Anolis sagrei: one gene and its partner. The protein of the gene in region 1 purifies or fractionates together with the protein of each later gene. This does not show direct contact. Links are inferred from orthologs where the notes say so. Each region holds a gene or a part of one and is shown on either strand. Other genes may lie near its edges.

Region 1 (7,564 bases):
ACTTACTAATAACTCATAGTGAAGAACAGGGCGAGACAACAGGAAGTGAGAGAAACCTACCCCACAGACGGGAAATTCACTCCTGAAAGTGTTATCATAGGGGCAAGGTGTCTCAACTGAAGCTTTATTACCAATCTTTATTTCCACAACAAGCCTTATTTTTTTCAAAATCCAATTATCACAGGGACAGAAAGAGAGATGATAACTTATGACAGGGGTACAGATAGCAAAACAAACCCTTCCCTATGCTATCCAAAGCTACAAAAAATATATTTTGGGGTGGAGTTACACTTAAAAATGCGCCTGTCCTAACTTACATACAAATTCAACTTAAGGACAAACCAACAGAATCCATCTTGTTTATTAACTTGGGAACAACCTGTAGTTCAATGTACACTAACCTTGAACATGAAAGGCACTGCAAACTAATTCAACCAGAGAAGTCAGCCATAGCAAAGCACTTGATGAACCAACCTGGGCACAGCATATTATTTGAGAACACAGAAACACTGAACCACTCTAACAACGATCATGTCAGACTACACAGAGAAGCCACTGAAATCCACAACCATATGGACAATTACAACAGAAAAGAAGCAACCATAAAAATGAACAAAATCTGGCTTCTAGTACTAAAAAATACTCTAAAATCAGGACAGTAAATAAAGAACAACTCTCAAAAACCAGGGGAATTCCAGATAAGAACCAATCAGGGCCAGGTAATCACCTCCCAACAAAGGATTCCCTCAGGAAAGAGGCAGCCAACATTTGAAGCTGCAAGGTTATTCAATGCTAATCAAGGTGGCCAACTGCAACATTCACATTTGCCTCAAGCAGACAATAGTTATTTCTCCCACCCTCAACATTCCACACTTACCTAGTTTCCCACAAACCTCACAACTTCTGATGATACCTGCCATATATGTGGTATCAGGATAGAATGCTTCTGGAACATGGCCATACTGCCTGGAAAACTCACAGCAACCCAGTGATTCCAGCCATGAAAGCCTTCCATGACACATCCTATGTGTCTTATGATGCAATGCTGTTTTACATAGCCAGTCAACAGAGCTTTTATGGAAATCCACAAGGTTATACATTCCTGTCCATTTAGCTGTACTTAAAAAAAACAAACCCACCACCTTAGAAACTAATCAAGGTGATGGAACTGCAACATTCACACTTCCTTCAAATAGACAAGAGTTCTTTCCTCCCACTCCGGACATTTCACAGATATATAAACATTACTTGCCTAGTTTCCAACAGACCTCACAACCTCTGAGGATGCCTGCCATAGATGTGGGTGAAACGTCAGGAGAGAATGCTTCTGGAACATGGCCTTACAGCCTAGAAAACTCACAGTGACCCACATTAACCTTGTTTCATAAACAAAATTATTATTTTTAAATGTGATGCATAAAATGATATCCAGGGTATGCGTATCAGGAAAGAAACAAATTTAGTTCATTTGATGGTTAGACCTGGGTGTAATCGGCAAGATATTTCACTGCATAGATGCAAATATTCCAAAATCTGGAGGGGAAATGCAAAAGTCCTTCAGGTCAGAAGCAGCAAGAAAGGGATACTCAACCTGTAAGAACCTCCCTGGTCAACAAACAAAAACTTTTTCAAGAGCTTGGATGTACCAACTCAGCTCTCTTTCTCCAAAGACATATTAAGTAAGTACAAACTTTGCAAAGAGAGCCAGCCTGGTTAAGCTGTTTGGGACCCGCCTACCTTCGTGACCACATCTCCTACCACCAACCTGCTTGATATCTCCGATCCTCTGGGGAGACCCTCCTTTCACCTCTTCCTTTATCACAGGCAAGATTTGTGGGATAGAGGGAGAAAGCCATCTCTGCTGTGGCTCCCCATCTTTGGAACTCACTACCTGGTGAGACTGGTCTAGCCCCCTCCTTAGCACACTTCAAGAAAACCCTGAAAACCTTGTGGCTTTGGAGAGTGACCATTTATCCCATTTCTGTTTGCCCCATCTATATTGTTGCCCCTATGATGCACTTTCCCTCTGAGGATGCTTGCCACAGATGCAGGCGACACGTCAGGAGAGAATGCCTCTAGACCATGGCCATATAGCCCGAAAAAACCTACAACAACCCAGTGATTCTGGCCATGAAAGCCTTCAACCATACCCTACTGTTTTATCCTTTTTGGGCTCCCCTCAATTACATATTTTCTATTCCTACTTCACTCAGGGTTTTATCATTTTATGTCGTCCATTTGGCCTGCCCATCCTGTTTGATTTTATGTTGTGTTAATTTGCTTTAGTATTTTATTTTGCTATTGTAATTATTTTCTGAATTTGCATTCTCTATTTTATTGTATTGTATTTTTGGGCTTGGCCTCATGTTTGGCTGCCCCGAGTCCCCATTGGGGAGATGGTGGCGGGGTATAAATAAAGATTATTAGTATTATTAAGTGACAAGCTATGGGTGCATCTACACTGTAGAACAGGCATGAGCAAACTTGGGCCCTCCAGGTGTTTTGGACTCCAACTCCCACAATTCCTAACAGCCTATGGAGTCCAAAACACCTGGAGGGCCCAAGTTTGCTCATGCCTGTTCTACAGTGTAGAATGAATCCAGTTTGACACTACTTGAACTGCTATGGCTCAATACTATGGAAACCTGAGAATTGTAGTTCTACCAAGTCTCAAACCCTCTCTACCAAAGAGTGCTGGCAGCTCAAGTTTCTGGGCCTTCAACTTTCTCCTCCCCCAAACAACCAGGCCTGTATTTGCGTGTAGGAGTAGTTTGCCTCCTCACCTGGAGGGCGGCCTCATGTTGTGGCTCCGCAGCGCCGCTTCTTCCTCGTAGTTGAGCAGCTTCAGCTTCTCCAGCAAGTCCTCCATCAGGACGAACATGTGGTAAACGGCGCCAGGGCCCCGCTCGACCGGGTCGCCTTCTTCTGCCGCCGCCGCCATCACCATCCCTCGGTTGCCAACACAACGCCGCCAGCGCTTCTCGGGCCGGAGGCGGCGTCACCGGGGAAACAAGCCACGCCCCTTCTCGGCCGACGCTCGCTCACCCGCCAATCACGGAGCGTCAGCGAAAGGGGGCGGGCCTTTCTAGCGTTTGCAAGGGAGTTCTGGCTGCGCATGCGTAGACGCGCCAATGCTTTAGTAACTAGTTCATTTATGAGTCTCTTCTCTTTTGCCCCAAGACCCTTCCACACAGAATATGAAGCTAATCCACAATACCTGCTTTGAATTGGCTTATTTGAGGCCCCTTCCTCACAGCTGAATAAAATCCCACATTTTCTGTTTTGGACTGGAATATATGGCAGTGTGGAGTCAAATAACCCAGTTCAAAGCAGTTATTGTGGGATTTTTCTGCCTTTATATTCAGGTTTATATGGCTGAGCATGCTGTAGAACAGGCATGGGGAAACTTTGGCCTTCCAGGTGTTTTGGACTTCAACTCCCACAATTCCTAACAGCCTAACAGCTGTTAGGAATTGTGGGAGTTGAAGTCCAAAACACCTGGAAGGCCAAAGTTTCCCCATGCCTGCGGTAGAGTTATTGCACCTTGGTGTCATTTTCACTGCCATGGTCAGCAGCCCTCTTTGGCAGAGAAAGCGAAAGACCTTGGGGAAACTACAACTCCCATGACTCCATCACATGAAGCCATGGCATTTTAAAGTAGTGTCAAGCTGCATTATTAATCTATATAAATAAAAATGTAATGTTCGTTTATTTATTTATTTATTTATTATTATTCGTTTGTGAGATTAACAGAACTCAAAACCACTGGACGAATTGACATCAAATTTGGACACAATACAGCTATACACAACAATACACAATACAATACACCAATCTTCAAGAAGGGAAAAAAGGATGACCCAAACTACCGTCCGGTCAGCCTCACGTCGATACCGGGCAAGATTCTGGAAAAGATTGTTAAGGAAGCGGTCTGCAAACACTTAGAAACAAATGCAGTCATCGCTAATAGTCAACATGGATTTATCAAAAACAAGTCATGCCAGACTAATCTGATCTCTTTCTTCGATAGAGCTACAAGCTGGGTAGATGCGGGGAATGCCGTGGATGTAGCGTACCTGGATTTCAGTAAGGCCTTCGACAAGGTCCCCCATGACCTTCTGGCAAGGAAACTAGTCCAATGTGGGCTAGGCAAAACTACGGTGAGGTGGATCTGTAATTGGATCTGTAATTGGTTAAGTGGACGAACACAGAGAGTGCTCACTAATGCTTCCTCTTCATCTTGGAAAGAAGTGACGAGCAGAGTGCCGCAGGGCTCTGTCCTGGGCCCGGTCCTGTTCAACATCTTTATTAATGACTTAGATGAAGGGCTAGAAGGCATGATCATCAAGTTTGCAGACGACACCAAATTGGGAGGGATAGCCAATACTCCAGAGGACAGGAGCAGAATTCAAAACGATCTGGACAGATTAGAGAGATGGGCCAAAACTAACAAAATGAAGTTCAACAGTGACAAATGCAAGATACTCCACTTTGGCAGAAAAAATGAAATGCAAAGATACAGAATGGGTGACGCCTGGCTCGAGAGCAGTACGTGTGAAAAAGATCTTGGAGTCCTCGTGGACAACAAGTTAAACATGAGCCAACAATGTGATGTGGTGGCAAAAAAAGCCAATGGGATTTTGGCCTGCATCAATAGGAGCATAGTGTCTAGATCTAAGGAAGTAATGCTACCCCTCTATTCTGCTTTGGTTAGACCACATCTGGAATATTGCGTCCAATTCTGGGCACCACAATTCAAGAGAGATATTGACAAGCTGGAATGTGTCCAGAGGAGGGCGACTAAAATGATCAAAGGTCTGGAGAACAAGCCCTATGAGGAGCGGCTCAGGGAACTGGGCATGTTTAGCCTGAAGAAGAGAAGGCTGAGAGGAGATATGATAGCCATGTATAAATATGTGAGAGGAAGCCATAGGGAGGAGGGAGCAAGCTTGTTTTCTGCTTCCTTGGAGACTAGGACGCGGAACAATGGCTTCAAACTACAAGAGAGGAGATTCCATCTGAACATTAGGAAGAACTTCCTGACTGTGAGAGCCGTTCAGCAGTGGAACTCTCTGCCCCGGGGTGTGGTGGAGGCTCCTTCTTTGGAAGCTTTTAAGCAGAGGCTGGATGGCCATTTGTCAGGGGTGATTTGAATGCAATATTCCTGCTTCTTGGCAGGGGGTTGGACTGGATGGCCCATGAGGTCTCTTCCAACTCTTTGATTCTATGATTCTATGATTCTATCAGGCCAATGAGTGAGCATCACTCATAAAAACATTAAAAAACATAGCAGAAGAGACTTAAAAAGCCAAAAAACAAAAATTGCATTACAACACATGTGCAAAACCATATATACATATATATATATATACACAAATATATACACATATATAAACACACCCAAAACACATATACACAGACTGGGCCACAGCAACGCATGGAAGGGACGGCTACGCTATATAAACAAAAATGTAATGTTTGTTTGTGGGATTAACATAATTCAAAAACTACTGGGCAAATTTAAACCAAATTTGGACACAAGATATCTACTAACCCAATCACTAGTGACCATTTAGTGACCATCACTAAAAAAAATGATTTTGTCATTTGGGAGTTGTAGTTGCTGGGATGTATAGTTTGCCTACAATCAAAGAACACTCTGAACTCCACCAATGATGGCACACAGGACTCCCATGATCAACAGAAAACACTAGAAGGGTTTGGTGGGCATTGACCTTGAGTTTGGGAGTTGTAGTTCACCTACATCCAGAGAGCATTGAGGACTCAAACAATGATGGATCTGGACCAAACTTGGCACCAATATGTCCAAATGTGAACACTGGTGGAGTTTGGGGTTAATAGACCTTGACATTTGGGAGTTGTAGTTACTGGGATTTATAGTTCACCTACAATCAAAGAGCATTCTGACCCCCACCAACAACAGAATTGGGCCAAACTTCCCACACAGAACCCCCATGACCAACAGAAAATACTTAAGGCCATCTAGTCCAACTCCCTTCACCAGGGCAAGAATACGTAATCAAAGCCCTCCTGACAAAGAGCCATCCAGCCATATAGATAGATATATATGATTCACACACAGATATAGTAGCATAGATTTGAAAGGGACCCCTAAAGAAGGACAATGCTATGTTGCATGTTCCAGAGTAGGCAAACCAGACAGCCTCCACATCAACACTGACAAACAGCAAAAAATACTGTTTACCCACAAGCATCAAGACATTACATATATTAGAAACCAACTTGAGAGGGCCCAAGCCAGGTCACCAGACTGGGCCACAGCAACGTGGGGCAGGGGACGGCTAGTCTATATAAGTAAAAATATAATGTTCGTTTGTGGGATTAACATAACTCAAAAACCACTAGACGAATCAACACAATACACCTGTCAGGCCAACAAGTGACCATCAATCATAAAAACACTGAAAAACACAATGGAAGGGACTTTAAAAGCCAAAAAAGCAAAAAGACACTACAGTGCATGTGCAAAAACGACTCCCCCCAGCAAACAAAGCACACAATAGCATATCCACACTCTCTTCCAAACTATAATTCCCAGCATCCCCTAGACCAGGCCTTTTAGGAGACGAGGATGATCCAAATGCACTGCTTCCAAGCTGCAAGCTTTCTTCTCCTTGGATTTCTTTGAGAGCATCCTAATTCCTGCATATTTCCAATTGCCTATTCCTGGACTGCAACTCCCAGCAATTGACTAGATAGATAGATTAGATAGAGATAGGTAGGTAGGTAGGTAGGTAGATGGATCAGGAGGACTGCTGGAAGTTGCAGTCCAAGAATAGGTAGAGAAGGGAGAACAGGGAGAAAGAGAAAGGGAAAAAAGGGGGGAAGGAAGGGAAGAAGAAGAGAAGGAAGGAGGTAGAGAAAAAAAGAAAAAAGAGAAGGAAGGAAATAGGAAGGGAAGGAAGTAGACAAAAAAGAAGAGAAAGAGGGAGGGAGGGAAGGTTAGCCACAGCAACATGTGGCGGGTACAGCTAGTTTTACATAATTTTGACTTTGGGTACTTGTATATGTTTATATTACTAGCTGTACCCGCCACATGTTGCTGTGGCCAACCTTCCCTCCCTCTTTCTCTCCTTTCCTGCTCTCCTTTCTCCCTCTTCCCGTGGATTCATTCTCTAGTGTGATGAGGTCCCAAGTCTTTTGATTCATTTTAATGTTTAACTTTCTCAAGTTTTTAATTGGTTTTTACATCTTATTTATACTTTTATTAATGCTTTTGCATTGTTATTACTATGTTATTATCTGCTTCAGTTCCATTACTGGGAGAAAGGTGGGATAAAAACGATAACGATACTACTACTGCTGCTGCTATTATTATTATTATTATTATTATTATTATTATTATTATTATGTTGTTGTTGTTGTTGTTGTTGTTGTTGTTACAACTCCTATCAGATGCATTAATTTCACCAGTGCTATTCAAAGTGATGGTTGTTGTATTTGTACAAGTATCCGAGGGAAGAAACAATGGTACCCAATGGACACAAATTTAGTGCTGATCCCTGGCACATTGGAGAACCAT
Region 2 (7,770 bases), about 200 Mb from region 1:
AAGCTGGGACTAACAGCAGGAGCTCACCCCATTCCCCGGACTGGAACCGCCAACCATTCAGCAAATTCAGCAGATCAACCGAGAGTAAAACTAATATAGCAAAGGAAATTTCTGTGGGGTGGGTTAGAGCAGGGAATCAAGTGCCATTTGAATACATTTAAAAGCCCTGTGCAATGTAACTTGCCTGGATAGAGTTTGGAAAATTACTTTTAAAGGCAACCAGTTTCAAAATAGTAGATAGTGTTTTGTAGGGATTATATATCTCTCTTTCAGCTCTATCTACCTAAGCCAGGCTTGGGCTGTTAGGAATTGTGGGAGTTGCAGTCCAAAACACCTGGAGGGCCAAAGTTGGTCCATGCCTGAGATAGATAGTAAGGAACCATTTCTCAACCTGGGGGTTGGGACCCCTGAGGGGGGTCGCAAGGGGGTGTTAGAGGGGTCACCAAAGACCATCAGAAAACATGATGGTAGTTAGAGTGGTCCAGCATTTCTATATTCTCAAATAATATGTTGTATCCAGGTTGGTTCATCAGGTGCTCTGCTATGTCTGACTTCTCTGGCTGAAGTAGTCTGCAGTGTCTTTCATGTTCCTTGATTCGTGTTTGGGCGCTGCGTTTGGTGGTCCCTATGTAGGCTTGTCCACAGCTCAAGGACAGCTCAACCCATTACGCAAAATAAGCATTTGCAGTATAGTTGATTTTGCCCAGGGGCGCTCTTGAGGCGCTCTTGGGGGAAAATAGACCTTGACATATGTGAGTTGTAGTTACTGGGATGTATAGTTCACCTACAATCAAAGAGCATTCTGAACTCCACCAATGATGGAATTGAACTAAATATGGCACACAGAACTCCCATGACGAACAGAAAATATATATCAGTGATTGGTTGGGGGGTGGGGGGTGCCAAAATACTGTTTGCTTACCGTTGAAAATTACCTCGGGCCGCCTCTGCCAGCTGCATGGTATACGGTAGACTCCTGCAGAAGTGAGAGGATCCCTCTTGTCCACCATGTCAGACTACACAGAGAAGCCATTGAAATCCACAAGCATGTGGACAATTTCAACAGAAAGGAGGAAACCATGAATATGAACAAAATCTGGATACCAGTATTAAAAAACTCTAAAATTACAACAGCAAAACAACAGGGGGGGGGGGGGGGAATCAGACACACCTAATCACCTCTCAACAAAAGATTGCCCCAGGCACTGCCAGGCCCTCAAATGCCAATCAAGGTGGTCAGTTGAAACATTCACGCCTATCTCCAGCAGACAAGAGTCCTTTGTCCCACCCTGGTCATTCCACAGATATGTTATTTTTGTTCATTCGTTCAGTCGTCTCCGACTTATTTATTTATTTTATTTGTCGTGTCAGAGCAACTAGTCCATTATATTACATTTCTAACAGACCAAAGCAAACAAATAGAAAAATACAAAACTTGTGAGTTTGGTAGTTGGTTAAATGTCCTTTGACTAGTATCTGGCCACTTGGAGTGCCTCTGGTGTTGCTGCAAGAAGGTCCTCCATTGTGCATGTAGCAGGACTCAGGGTGCATTGCAGCAGGTGGTCAGTGGTTTGCTCTTCTCCACACTCGCATGTCGAGGATTCCACTTTGTAGCCCCATTTCTGAAGGTTGGCTCTGCGTCTCGTGGTGCCAGAGCGCAGTCTGTTCAGTGCCTTCCAAGTCACCCAGTCTTCTGTGTGCCCAGGAGTGAGTCTCTCATTGGGTATCAGCCATTGGTTGAGGTGCTGGGTTTGAGCCTGCCATTTTTGGACTCTCGCTTGCTGAGGTGTTCCAGCGAGTGTCTCTGTAGATCTTAGAAAACTATTTCTAGATTTAAGTCGTTGACGTGCTGGCTGATACCCAAACAGGGGATAAGCTGGAGATGTCTCTACCTTGGTCTCCGACTCTTGGTGACCTCATGGACCATCCCACGCCAGAGCTCCCTATCGGCCGTCACCACCCCCAGCTCCTTCAAGGTCAGTCCAGTCACTTCTAGGATGCCATCCATCCATCTTGCCCTTGGTCGGCCCCTCTTCCTTTTACCTTCCACTTTCCCCAGCATAATTGTCTTCTCTAGGCTTTCCTGTCTCCTCATGATGTGGCCAAAGTACTTCAACTTTGTCTCTAGTATCCTTCCCTCCAATGAGCTTTATTTCCTGGAGGATGGACTGGTTGGATCTTCTCGCAGTCCAAGGCACTCTCAGAACTTTCCTCCAACACCACAGTTCAAAAGCATCTATCTTCCTTCACTAATGGTGATTCAGGTTATTTTACAACAATATATTAATATGTAAAAGCAACCTTCTAAACCCAGATTTAAGCCACTGATCCAACAAATAAAACTCCTCATATAAACCCTTTTTCCTAGTTCCAACAGACCTCACTACCTCTGAGGATGCTTGCCACAGATGCAGGCGAAACGTCAGGAGAGAATGCCTCTAGAACAGTGGTTCTCAACCTGGGGTCCTCAGATGTTTTTGGCCTTCAACTCCCAGAAATCCTAACAGCTGGTAAACTGGCTGGGATTTCTGGGAGTTGTAGGCCAAAAACATCTGTGGACCCCAGGTTGAGAACCACTACTGTAGAACATGGCCATATAGCCAGAAAAAACCTACAACAACCCAAACTAAGAGATATGTAAACCATTGTGGAATGTCAGTGCAGAGACCTACGCCCTGAAGACCCTCAAAATCAGCTCCCTTACCTGTAGAAGCCAATAAATAGGGAATCCAGAGTCTCTCCAAGAGGAGCCTTGTTGCGACTTCAGCTCGCGCCCAAAGCCCTGCGTTGGCGACGCCGCTCCGTCTCTATAGCGACTTCTCGCGAGATTTCCTCTCCGATCGCACTCTTCGCTCCTTCCCCCCTCCCACACCCGTCGTGACGTCAGAGCGCCGACCTGTCAAAAACCGTCTTTATATCGGCAAAACAACCCATACGATTTAGATTTGATAGCAAAATTAAATAAATAAGAATACCTGCTCAATTCCACGAGTCAAAATAAGACAGAGGGAAAAAAAGCTAATTCCTGACGTGGAAAACATTTTTACAGCCACTACAGCCGCCTTTCAGCTCGCTAACGGGAAAACAAGATGGCGGCGCTTGAGGGGGTTTTTCTTCCTCCCTCCTCTCCCCCCTCCCTTCTTCTTTCGCCTCCTTTCAAACCCGTGGAAGCCCCGCCCCTTTTCCTTTTCCCCCAGCATGCTTTGCGCATTTCTAACGAATTTCGTTACGAGTTTGCCGTTTGGGCGCCATTTTCGAGTGTGGAAGCCGCCAAGGCTGCAGGCAGGAAGCGAGCGGAGGGAGCAAGCTCTGAAGGGAGGCGCAGGACGGTAAGCGGGCCTTGGGATCCCGGGAGCGGGGGAGAAGGCAGCCCCACGCTTGGAAATCATCGCTGCTCATACTGTGACCATTACTGATTGCTTCAGCTTCTGGAGATATTGGAGGAACTCGAATCAGAGGAGAGAAACTTCCCCCATAAATGGGGTCTATGACTTCTCTGTGGGGTTGAAGGGAAAAATATAATCATGATCATTATGATCAATATTAATAATAATAATAGACAAGATGAGGTGTTGTTTTCCATCGGAGTCTGAATTTAAAAGAAAGGAAAAAGGCGGCATTCTTTAATTTCCCTTTTTCCCCGCCACAATTTGCCTCTATGGATCTATCTATTTTTTTTAATGGGAGAAATTAGAAACCTTATGCTTTTTTAAGGTTGTCACAAGAGATAATATTTTTACTAATTTTTGAAAATATTATTTTTCGTCGTTTTATTTATTTATTTATTTAAAAGTTTTGTATACCAGCCTTCTCACCTCTCTTGAGGGACTCAGACCGGTTTCCAACCATAATATCACATAAATCAATAAAACAACATAATACATATTACAGTAAAACATTAAAACAGCAATTACAATCAATTAGAAACCTTATGCTTTTTTAAGGTTGTCACAGGAGATAATATTTTTTCTAATTTTTGAAAATATTATTTTTCGTCGATTTATTTATTTAAAAGTTTTGTATACCGGCCTTCTCACCTCTCTTGAGGGACTCAGACCGGTTTCCAACCATAATATCACATACAATCAATAAAACATCATAATACATATTACAGTAAAACATTAAAACAGCAATTACAATCAATAACTATAATTAGGTTCTTGTAGGTTTTTTCGGGCTATAGGGCCATGTTTCCAACAGACCTCACTACCTCTGAGGATGCTTGCCATAGATGCAGGCGAAATGTCAGGAGAAATGCCTCTAGAACATGGCCCTATAGCCCGAAAAAACCTACAAGAACCTAGTGATTCCAGCCATGAAAGCCTTCGACAATACAATAACTATAATGGTCAGTCATCATACTTTTTTTTGTTTGTTTGTCGTGTCAGGAGCTTCTTGAGAAGCTGCAAGTCGCTTCTGGTGTGAGAGAATTGGCCGTCTGCAAGGACGTTGCCCAGGGGATGCCCAGATGATTTTTTTTAATGTTTTTATCATCCTTGTGGGAGGCTTCTCTCATGTCCCCGCATGAGGAGCTGGAGCTGATAGAGGGAGCTCACCCGACTCTCCCCTGATTCGAACCTGCGACCTGTCATACTAAAATCGTTGCTCATCATCCTCCATCCATATCTCAGGGTGTTGGCTCACTCGTCGAATGCCTATCTCCATAACCAAGTCTTCACCTGTTTCCTAAATGAAAATGAATAAGCCTTAATCAGCAGAGAAACTGGTCCTACTTTTTATAAAAAATTACCAATTACCAATTGTAATATAATGATAAAAAAATAATAATTTATTTGTAACCCACCCTATTTATTTAAGGGACTCAGGGTGGTTTCCAACAAGCCTCACAACTGACAAGCCTCTGAGGATGCTTGTCATAGATGCAGGCGAAACGTCAGAAGAAAACGCCTCTAGAACATGGCCAATATATTATTAGCATAGCAAAATATTATATATTACTATATTGTACTGTACCACTATAATGCAATATTAGTAATATTACATGTAATACATATATAATTATTATATTATTTATTGTTAGTAGTATTGTATTACATTATAATATCAATATTATATGTACATACAATATATTATATGTATTGTCGAAGGCTTACATGGCCGGAATCACCTGATTGTTGTAGGTTTTTTCGGGCTGTATGGCCATGTTCTAGAGGCATTCTCTCCTGATGTTTCGCCTGCATCTATGGCAAGCATCATCAGAGGTAGTGACCGGATGCTTGCCATAGATGCAGGCAAAACATCAGGAGAAAACGCCTCTACAACATGGCCATACACCCCGAAAAAACCTACAACAACCCAATATATTTTATTATTAACATAGTAGACTGAACTTTCTTATAGTGTTTGATTTTGTCACATTCTCAAGTAATTTAGCTACAACACTCTATGGAGTCTGGTGTGGTCCAATAGGAGGTCCAAAGGGTCGACACTATTTGTTACCACACAGAGTGACACCAACCCTAGTGACGGCAGAAGTTCAACAGAACCTCCTTCCGCAGTCTTAAAACACTGCCCGGTTGTGCTATTAAGGCAAGCCTTAATGTTTTCAACAAGCCTCACAACCTGTGAGGGTGCCTGCCATATATGTGGGTGAAATGTCAGGAGAGAGTGTTTCTGGAACATGGCCAGACAGCCCAGAAAACTCACAGCTACCCAGTGATTCCAACCATTAAAGCATGCGACAATACATTAGCAAGCATGTATCAATCTCATATTTTTCCTGTTTGTCTATTATGGCATTGATGCAAGCATGGGCAAACTTCGACTCTCCAGATGTTTTGGACTTCAACTCTCACAATTCCTAACCGCCAGTAGCTGTTAGGAATTCTGGGAGTTGAAGTCCAAAACACCCGAAGGACCAAAGTTTGCCCATTCCTGCCTTAATGCCATAATAAGCAAACAGGAAAAATCCAAATCAGAAACGGTGAATAAAAACAACCTCAATATAAACTTGTAAGAATTAATATTTATATTAGGATTTAATGCTTTGCCTTAGTGTTTTATATGGTTTTAGTGATTTTAATTTATAATTATATGCCAGTGTTTAGCTATTGTTTTATTATATGTATGGTGGCATTGAATTCTTGCCAATGAGAAAGACAGTATATAAATATACTATATAAACCCAAAAGTAACCAGAGTAAAAAACTTAAAAGTAATAGAATGGAATGGAAAGGCGACAAAAAGGGCATCTCCAAGGCAGGATCTCCACTGCTAAATAATGTAGTTCAAAGTGAGCTGCATTATATGGGTTTATACCAAACAAGGGCAAACTGCGGCCCTCCAGATGTTTTGGACTTCAACTCCCACAATTCCTAACAGCTGGTAAGCTGTTAGGAATTGTGGGAGTTGAAGTCCAAAACACCTGGAAGGCCAAAGTTTGCCTGTTCCTGGTCTTCACTAAATCTCAGGGAGGCAACTTGCAGTACGTCAAAGTATTTATTTTTAAAAACTTCGACATTCGGTTCATAGTGGAGTTTGGGGTTTTCTGGCCCGGAGCTGCTGAGTGATATCTGGCTGTAACTCCAGAAGTGTTTTTGGCAAAAATTCTAACCCCTTTCAGTGGGGGGGGGGGGAGTGGGGAAGAGATGATGGATTTATGGAGGTTAAAAAAAAAAGCCTGACTCGTTTATGAGGACGCCTAACTTTTCACAATTCTTGTGGCATAAAACGACACCCTTTGAAGGAGCCTGCTTCCTTTTAGCCCTCAAAAGCAAACGTTGGTTCCTTCAGTTAAATTCTTTCAGAGTGTGCGAAAGCTATGAATGTCAGCGAAATGGAACAGTTGCAATACTTTCCCTAAGTGCACCGTTATCTTAAAAGACATGCTAGTCACTGCCACTCCCAAACGGGGTCGACACTCATCGAGAGACTTTTTTTAAAACTTGAAATTTTATGATCTGATCTGTCTTTTTTTAAATAAAAAAAACCCCATTACATCTATTAAACATCCCTTGTCTTTTAACTCCCCCATAGTGTTAAATATCACAGAGTATGGTGTTTAGTATTAAACTTTCTGATCAAGTTTCACGAAAACTTGACAACTGTTCTTTCAGTCCAGTTGTCACTGGATTAAGACATTCATAGGCAGTTTGAGGTTTTATTTATTTTATTTTAAAAAACGAGTGAGGAAGCAGCACTCTGCTAATTCAACCCCGTAATCATATTGCTATATTTTTTAAAAGTGCACATGAAATGTAAGAAGTTACACTTGTGTACAGCAGAGTCTTCATATATTTTTATATCCTTCTGAATAGTTAGGAAGGGTCCTCAATATCCAATGGAGTTTGGTTCCAGGATCGCTGTGAATATCAAAATCTGTGGATGCTCAAGTCCCACTGTATTAACTGCTGTGATAAAATGGCACCCCTTATATAACTTTGCAAAATGAATGTTTTAAAAAAATACTTTCAAATTGTGGGTGGCTGAGTCCATGGATACAGAAAACCGCCTGTATTTTTGTTTTACTGCCAGTTTATTTAATTTTTTCATATGTTGACTCTGTATGACAGCTGTAAATTATGAGCTGGAATGTACAATCCTATCCTAGTATTGAGGTTGTGTATTAGAAGTGTGAAAGCCTATGCCTGTCATTTACAAAAATGACTTGAAACTTAGTAAATGCTAAGGATACACCTTTAAGCATAGGTGTTTGGATTTCATTGTTTGCATTAGCAACAAAGGTACAATCCTTCTATAGATTGATTGTTTGGAATTTGAACAGCCAACAGAAATCATGCCAAGCAAAAG

What was found. Proteins that work in one complex are often made in the same cells at the same time.
Region 2: the proteins of IFT57 (region 1) and IFT80 purify together in Homo sapiens (affinity purification with mass spectrometry; 3 studies listed by BioGRID and IntAct, counting the BioPlex papers as one, with this or other methods). This does not show direct contact. The link is inferred for Anolis sagrei from reciprocal best matches to the Homo sapiens genes IFT57 and IFT80.

Annotation. Positions count from the first base shown.
Region 1 is NC_090023.1:46,701,628-46,709,191, forward strand, and holds the start of IFT57 (intraflagellar transport protein 57 homolog), read right to left. Parts: upstream 3,012-7,564; 5' UTR 2,948-3,011; coding exon 2,784-2,947; intron 1-2,783. UniProt on the Homo sapiens protein: Required for the formation of cilia. Plays an indirect role in sonic hedgehog signaling, cilia being required for all activity of the hedgehog pathway.
Region 2 is NC_090023.1:246,702,216-246,709,985, forward strand, and holds the start of IFT80 (intraflagellar transport protein 80 homolog), read right to left. Parts: upstream 3,058-7,770; 5' UTR 2,976-3,057; intron 2,969-2,975; exon of another isoform or gene 2,705-2,968; intron 1,017-2,704; exon of another isoform or gene 923-1,016; intron 1-922. Other genes in the region: SMC4 (structural maintenance of chromosomes protein 4), read left to right, coding at 3,090-3,329, 7,721-7,770.